2 linked regions of the Xenopus tropicalis genome follow. The protein of the gene in region 1 purifies or fractionates together with the protein of each later gene. This does not show direct contact. Links are inferred from orthologs where the notes say so. Each region holds a gene or a part of one and is shown in the gene's direction. Other genes may lie near its edges. The genes, in order: sh3pxd2a and fgd1.

What was found.
Region 2: the proteins of sh3pxd2a (region 1) and fgd1 purify together in Homo sapiens (affinity purification with mass spectrometry; 3 studies listed by BioGRID and IntAct, with this or other methods). This does not show direct contact. The link is inferred for Xenopus tropicalis from reciprocal best matches to the Homo sapiens genes SH3PXD2A and FGD1.

The regions. Positions count from the first base shown.
Region 1 is NC_030683.2:28,139,018-28,143,350, forward strand, and holds the start of sh3pxd2a (SH3 and PX domain-containing protein 2A), read left to right. Parts: upstream 1-1,503; 5' UTR 1,504-1,876; coding exon 1,877-1,948; intron 1,949-4,333. UniProt on the Homo sapiens protein: Adapter protein involved in invadopodia and podosome formation, extracellular matrix degradation and invasiveness of some cancer cells. Binds matrix metalloproteinases (ADAMs), NADPH oxidases (NOXs) and phosphoinositides.
Region 2 is NC_030684.2:25,386,903-25,390,395, reverse strand, and holds part of fgd1 (FYVE, RhoGEF and PH domain-containing protein 1), read left to right. Parts: intron 1-2,270; coding exon 2,271-2,372; intron 2,373-2,746; coding exon 2,747-2,872; intron 2,873-3,033; coding exon 3,034-3,192; intron 3,193-3,432; coding exon 3,433-3,493. UniProt on the Homo sapiens protein: Activates CDC42, a member of the Ras-like family of Rho- and Rac proteins, by exchanging bound GDP for free GTP. Plays a role in regulating the actin cytoskeleton and cell shape.

The DNA.
Region 1 (4,333 bases):
TTTCAGTAGGGGAGCACGATTATCCTGTTGCCTTCCATACATTGGCTGGTATGCCCATAATCAGAGTTCAACATTTTCAGTGAAGAAACTGAATGAAAACACAAAATCTGTATAAAATTAAGAAAATGCATCGGTGGACTAAAACTCCCATTATTCCTCAACATATTAATAAAGGGTTAGTGCATGCTGGGCAGGGGTGCTGTGTCTATGTATGTATGTATGTATAACTTTATTTATAAAGTTCAATCAACATAAACAAAAATCTGTTAAGGTATTTAGTGAGTAAATTGTTCACTTGTGTGTATTGCACCCCAGAAAGCTTGTGCTGTTTGTACATTTCTGCAAATAAATGATTTAAAGGCATTGCCGACACACTGGAGTGCTTCTTCCCCTTTGCAAAGATTTATTTATAAAGTGCCACAAGGGTACACAGCGCTGTACAATCTTACAAGTGTTGTAATAAATACAATAAATATATATAAATGCACAGGGAATAAGTGCCATGAGGTATGAGACACAGTAGGAAGGAGGTCCCTGCCCCGTAGAGTGGTTGGGTAACATACAGGCACAAATTGGAAGGTAAGAGTGCACTAGGTATGGGCATTTGCTCTTAAGCACAGGACTAGGCAAAATAATGTTTTTGTGCTCTAGAAGGTAGCATCTTAAAGAGAGTGAGTGTTCCCTGCGGAGGGATTCAGGGATAGAGTTCCAGAGGTAAGGAAGTGAGTCCATGAAGTGAGTTGAGCAACACACCTTAGGTGGCAGTGCCCAGCTAGTTAGTTTTTTTAAATCAGAATTATGGCTCTTCTAGTGCAGAGAACACTATTGCTTTCTGCACTAGAGATTTGCCCCTGACTCCAATGAGAAAAGCAAAGCGCAAAGGGACAGCATTTATTTGCCTGCCTCAGAGTAGCAAGGAGCCCTGAGGTGGCACTGATGTGGGTGTTATAGTTCAATACCATCTGGGCACCCATGGGACAGAATGCATTCCCCCATACCAATGTCATACCCCCACATGCCAATGCATCCCTAAGGACCTTCTTTAAAAAATCTTAATTTTCAGAATTCTTACATTTCTTAGTCACCCCAGAGAGCAAGAGCCATACATGTAGGGACTGGGGGCACCTGGTCTATAAGGCCTGGATTGGATTAAGAGAAGGACAAAGAGACATTTGCCCTGGTAAGGTTCCCAACCTGAGAGGGGCCCCTATGGCCTATGTTTTTCAAAGAAATGTATAAATGACACAACATTATAGTTATATCTCACATATACAAGTTACATATAACCTGGGTACTGCCTTTAGCTAGTTTCCCTCACATTTGGGCTCCAGCCTCCCCGAGAAACAAGCTAAAGGCAGGACCCAGGGTCTGTACTATTATTAGCCCCCATACAGACAGCCACTGAGGCATTTATCATTTCAATTTGGTGGCCAGTCCCCGCCCCTCCCCCGGATCCATGAATCCAATGAATATATAGGAGTCTCTGTGTCCTGAGCAGGCCCCGCCTCCATGTAAGGACCGTGTCACCCGCGGAGCGGGGAATCACAGAGCTGTGTAACCCAGGCTGCAGCTGCAGCAGGGAGGGCAAGGGGAGTAGCACTCAGGCAGGGTGAGAGGAGGAGTATCCCAATGTGAAGGCAGAAAGCCCAGGGGAAACACAAGAACAGCAGAGGGCAGCCTACTGCCCAGAGAAACAAGCCACAAGCACATGGCAGCGGAGCTCAGCCCTAGAGCCTTTTCATTGGAGTGAGCGGCCCCCTCCCTGCTCTTATACACAGCGCTTGCACGGAACTGCCGGGGGGACCGGGACAGTAATGCCCCAGTGAGTGGCTTCAGCCCGCTGCCTGCCTGCCTGGCCGTGCCTCCGAGGGGAAAGATGCTGTCCTTCTGGGTGCTGGATGTGAGCGTACAGGGTGTGCAGAAAAGGAGGAACCCATCCAAGCACTATGTGAGTAGTAATACCCCCCCCAGCACTATGTATTGTACTGTATAGTGGTACAACCCATGCATTATTGGGGCAGTTATACCCCCCAGGCACAATGTATTCTGCTGTATCCCATAGGGATAGTGGTACAACCCATGCATTATTGGGGCAGTTATACCCACCCAGGCACAATGTATTCTGCTGTATCCCATAGGGATAGTGGTACAACCCATGCATTATTGGGGCAGTTATACCCACCCAGGCACAATATATTCTGCTGTATCCCATAGGGATAGTGGTACAACCCATGCATTATTGGGGCAGTTATACCCACCCAGGCACAATGTATTCTGCTGTATCCCATAGGGATAGTGGTACAACCCATGCATTATTGGGGCAGTTATACCCACCCAGGCACAATGTATTCTGCTGTATCCCATAGGGATAGTGGTACAACCCATGCATTATTGGGGCAGTTATACCCACCCAGGCACAATGTATTCTGCTGTATCCCATAGGGATAGTGGTACAACCCATGCATTATTGGGGCAGTTATGCCCACCCAGGCACAATGTATTCTGCTGTATCCCATAGGGATAGTGGTACAACCCATGCATTATTGGGGCAGTTATACCCACCCAGGCACAAGGTATTCTGCTGTATCCCATAGGGATAGCGGTACAACCTATGCATTATTAGGGCAGTTATGCCCACCCAGGCACAATGTATTCTGCTGTATCCCATAGGGATGATGGTACAACCCATGCATTATTGGGGCAGTTATACCCACCCAGGCACAATGTATTTTGCTGTATCCCATAGGGATAGCGGTACAACCCATGCATTATTGGGGCAGTTATACCCACCCAGGCACAATGTATTCTGCTGTATCCCATAGGGATAGCGGTAGAACCCATGCATTATTGGGGCAGTTATACCCCCCCAGGCACAATGTATTCTGCTGTATCCCATAGGGATAGCGGTACAACCCATGCATTATTGGGGCAGTTATACCCCCCCAGGCACAATGTATTCTGCTGTATCCCATAGGGATAGCGGTACAACCCATGCATTATTGGGGCAGTTATACCCACCCAGGCACAATGTATTCTGCTGTATCCCATAGGGATAGTGGTACAACCCATGCATTATTGGGGCAGTTATGCCCACCCAGGCACAATATATTCTGCTGTATCCCATAGGGATAGTGGTACAACCCATGCATTATTAGGGCAGTTATGCCCACCCAGGCACAATGTATTCTGCTGTATCCCATAGGGATGATGTTACAACCCATGCATTATTGGGGCAGTTATACCCACCCAGGCACAATGTATTCTGCTGTATCCCATAGGGATAGCGGTACAACCCATGCATTATTGGGGCAGTTATACCCACCCAGGCACAATGTATTCTGCTGTATCCCATAGGGATAGCGGTACAACCCATGCATTATTGGGGCAGTTATACCCACCCAGGCACAATGTATTCTGCTGTATCCCATAGGGATAGTGGTACAACCCATGCATTATTAGGGCAGTTATGCCCACCCAGGCACAATGTATTCTGCTGTATCCCATAGGGATGATGGTACAACCCATTCATTATTGGGGCAGTTATGCCCACCCAGGCACAATATATTCTGCTGTATCCCATAGGGATAGTGGTACAACCCATGCATTATTAGGGCAGTTATGCCCACCCAGGCACAATGTTTTCTGCTGTATCCCATAGGGATGATGGTACAACCCATGCATTATTGGGGCAGTTATACCCACCCAGGCACAATGTATTCTGCTGTATCCCATAGGGATAGTGGTACAACCCATGCATTATTGGGGCAGTTATACCCACCCAGGCACAATGTATTCTGCTGTATCCCATAGGGATAGTGGTACAACCCATGCATTATTGGGGCAGTTATGCCCATCCAGGCACAATATATTCTGCTGTATCCCATAGGGATAGTGGTACAACCCATGCATTATTAGGGCAGTTATGCCCACCCAGGCACAATGTATTCTGCTGTATCCCATAGGGATGATGGTACAACCCATTCATTATTGGGGCAGTTATGCCCACCCAGGCACAATATATTCTGCTGTATCCCATAGGGATAGTGGTACAACCCATGCATTATTAGGGCAGTTATGCCCACCCAGGCACAATATATTCTGCTGTATCCCATAGGGATAGTGGTACAACTCATTCATTATTGGGGCAGTTATACCCACCCAGGCACAATGTATTCTGCTGTATCCCATAGGGATAGTGGTACAACCCTGCCATGCATTATTGGGGCAGTTATACCCACCTAGGCACAATGTATACTTTATGTATTATGGTACAACCCTGCCATGCATTAAGGGGCAATTATACCCACCCAGGCACAATGTATTCTGTATACAC
Region 2 (3,493 bases), on another chromosome or scaffold:
GTACCAAGACCGCCGGGTCTTCCCCAGCCCCTCCCAACAATTTGTCCACTCGTTCCACCACATGCCGAACCCTAGCACCAGGCAAGCAACACACAGTTCGGCATGTAGGGTCTTTGCGACAAATTACCCTATCCACCTTTCTAATAATTGAATCCCCTACAACTATAGCCTGCCTTCCCTTCCTAGCACTACTCCCCCCACCTGTATTAGAGGTGCCGGCTCCCAGGGTGCTCTGAGAGTCAGCCCGCTCCATACATGCTAGCTCAGAGCTGTCTTCCCCAGCATCTTCACCTAAAGCGGCAAATCTGTTGGATTGTACAAGCTGTGAACCAGCCCCCCTACCCTTGTGTCCCCTACTTCCCCTCTTAACTGTTACAAATTTGTCTCCCTCATTAACCTCCACTGTCCCTTCTCCACCCCCCACTACACCGGCCCCTGCCAGTGGTTGCTCAGTGAGCCTCCTGTTCTCCCCCATGTTTGCAGCTGCCCTCAGTGCTGCCAGTTCCCCTCTTAGATTCTGCACCTCAGATTCCAAGAGGAAAACCCACCTGCATCTCTCACAAGTAAATGCTGCATGGAACTGCTGCTCCAGGACCACATACATGCGGCAAGATGCACACTGAGTAACACCAGCAATCATACTGCAACTCATATTGCCACTGGGTACTTACAGTCTCCCGAGTGCAATCCCTTGTATAGTGCCTTTTAAGTTTCAAACGCCTTTTTTGTTTTTAACGCCTACTATACACTTAATCTACTTAATATTGTTTGTAAACAAATATTTACATAAACCATAAAGTAGATAAAACAAGAGACTACCATATACACAGAAAGGTCATACAAAACAAATATACTACAATACACTACAAATATACAAAACTTAACTAAACACACTAAAATGAAACCCAGAGGCCCAACCACCTATATAATAATAATATCCCACACCACACCATATAAACACACTCTATGAAACCTTAACCCTAGAGGATTACACAGCCTAAGGATACCTCTCCTTTGGTTTGATAAGGTGCCTGGTCTGTGATGTCAGGATTCCCTCTGATTTGGTACGGTGGTCACTCCTCTCCTGGCCCTGTGTCTACCTGTGCTAGCACATACCAGTCAGTTACAGGAAGTCATCCGTCCGCCATTATGGGTATTTCAGTCTTCATGTCTGCGTCTCCAGCAAGACTGTCCTTCCCGCTCGTTTCTGCCCATACACGGGCCGATAGAAGCTGCCGATATGGGTCCCTTGGACCGATTCGGCAGCTAATCGGCCCGTGTATGGGCAGAAACGAGCGGCCTGGCCGACCAATATCTGGCCTGAAATTGGCCAGATATCGATCGGCCAGGTTAGAAAATCCAGTCGGATCGGGGACCGCATCGGCTCGTTGATGCGGTCCCCGAACCGACTGCCCCATGGCCGCAACTGTAATTATTTTTTTTTTAAAGCAACTTGCTACCCGATATCGCCCACCCGTAGGTGGGGATATCGGGTAAAGATCCGCTCGCTTGGCGACATCGCCAAGCGAGCAGATCTTATAGTGTATGGGGACCTTAACTGATTAAGCATATCACCAGGGATCCATTCAGCTGGCTCCAGTGTCCTTGACCCTTTGTTAATGTTAATTAGAGTTTAGGTGGGACAGCACCTTTCCCAGACCAGTACCTTTGTTTTCCAAATTAGGAAACTCCTGTTGTTTGGATCAGACAACCAGGTGCTAAGCTAATTACTAATTGACTGTTTCCTCTACTAGAGTCAAAGGTTTCATTATTGATTAATAAATTATAAGAACTCACAATATATATATTACAAGAATCTTACATATGTATACATTACTTTTACTCATGAGTCTTGCATATTATATATATATATATATATATATATATATATATTAATTACTTCTCTTCTGAAAACACAAAGTATGAGCACATCGCTTACTGCTTTCTCATGAGATTTATTTCATTTAAGTTCATTCCTGGAATTTAAACTTGGGGAATGTTCCTTACTCATTTAGCTAGGACAAGATGGGGAAAAGTCTATATTAAAGAAGAACTTAAGCGCAACAAATAAATAGGCTTGAAATGCTAAAACCCTAAAGGTCTGGATCATGATTGCTGGCCCTCTGGGCTGGTACAGTGCAGCATATACAACATTAATACAGCATCTATCCAAGAATAGTCATATTATTTTTTGTTTATATTCTACTTTCATTTGTCATGGTTTAAACAACACAATCATAGCTGCCTTTTGTCTTGCTTTGCCTTTACAGGCTATTGAGGCTACAATAAATCGGCATGAACAGGCAATGGAGTCATGCAAACTGCTCTGCACGTCCATTCGTGAGGATGAGGAGACGCCACCAAACTCTCCGGTACATTTAGAGGCCATCCTCTGGCCACAGCGAAAGAACATATCTGGGTCTGACTCTGAAAACAATGTTACAGGAGTCAAGTTTCCTCTTGGTCTGTTAATCAACTGGCTTGCGATATTGTTTCATGAGTCAGATCCAGGAGTGCAAGAATATAAACACTTGGCTGGCAAATGCTGTCAGGATAGTTAGTATCGTGTTCTTGCAGGTAGAATAAGAAGAATAAAGGGAGTGGGTTTGGGTTTGGGTATAGAAGGGGAGCAGGAAGGGGTCAGGAGGGTTTTGGGAATTAGATTGTCTTATTCTACCTGCAACAGCACTTATTAAGTTATTGAGGTAACACAGCAACAGTTCCTAATGAAACGTCTGTCACACAGAACACAGACCTGGGAAAACGAGCACCAACCCCCATCCGAGAAAAGGAAGTGACCATGTGCATGAAATGCCAGGAACCATTTAACTCCATTACCAAAAGGAGACACCACTGCAAGGCTTGCGGCCATGTGAGTGCCCAGTTTTATTGCATCTTCTTTTACTGTCACCAATCACTATTTCAGGCCCAGACAGGCAATCTGTCAGAGGGCCTGGGGGAGCTGTTTGGGCCTCTGTGTACTTGAAATGTTAGGGCCTATTTTTAATCTCAGTACTTATTTCCTTACTCCAGGTGGTATGCGGAAAGTGCTCTGAGTTTCGTGCCAGGCTTGTTTACGATAATAACCGCACAAATCGAGTCTGTGTGGACTGTTATGGTGCTCTACGTGGGTCTTTGGCCAGCCCAGTATACAACGCTCACACGCCACAGCGCAGGAAATCCATACTAGAGGTATGTCAGGCATCTTTTCACTGCCCAGTCTGTACATGGCGCCAGCTTGCACAGCAGTTAGTGTTTATCACTGGCACTTAAAGGGTGTCAGTCAAGTGTCTATTTTAAATGTGGGGTACTGCGTGCTGATAAATAGCTGCTTTTAAGACAGGCACGGCCATACCTAGACTGAATAGCGCAAGATTCCTATACTGTGTCAGGTGTACATCAGACTAAATGCATTCAATGTGTGATCCCCAGAAACAGGCCTCGGTGGTGGCAGAACACAGTGTTATGTGTAGTTACATGCATTACATGGAGA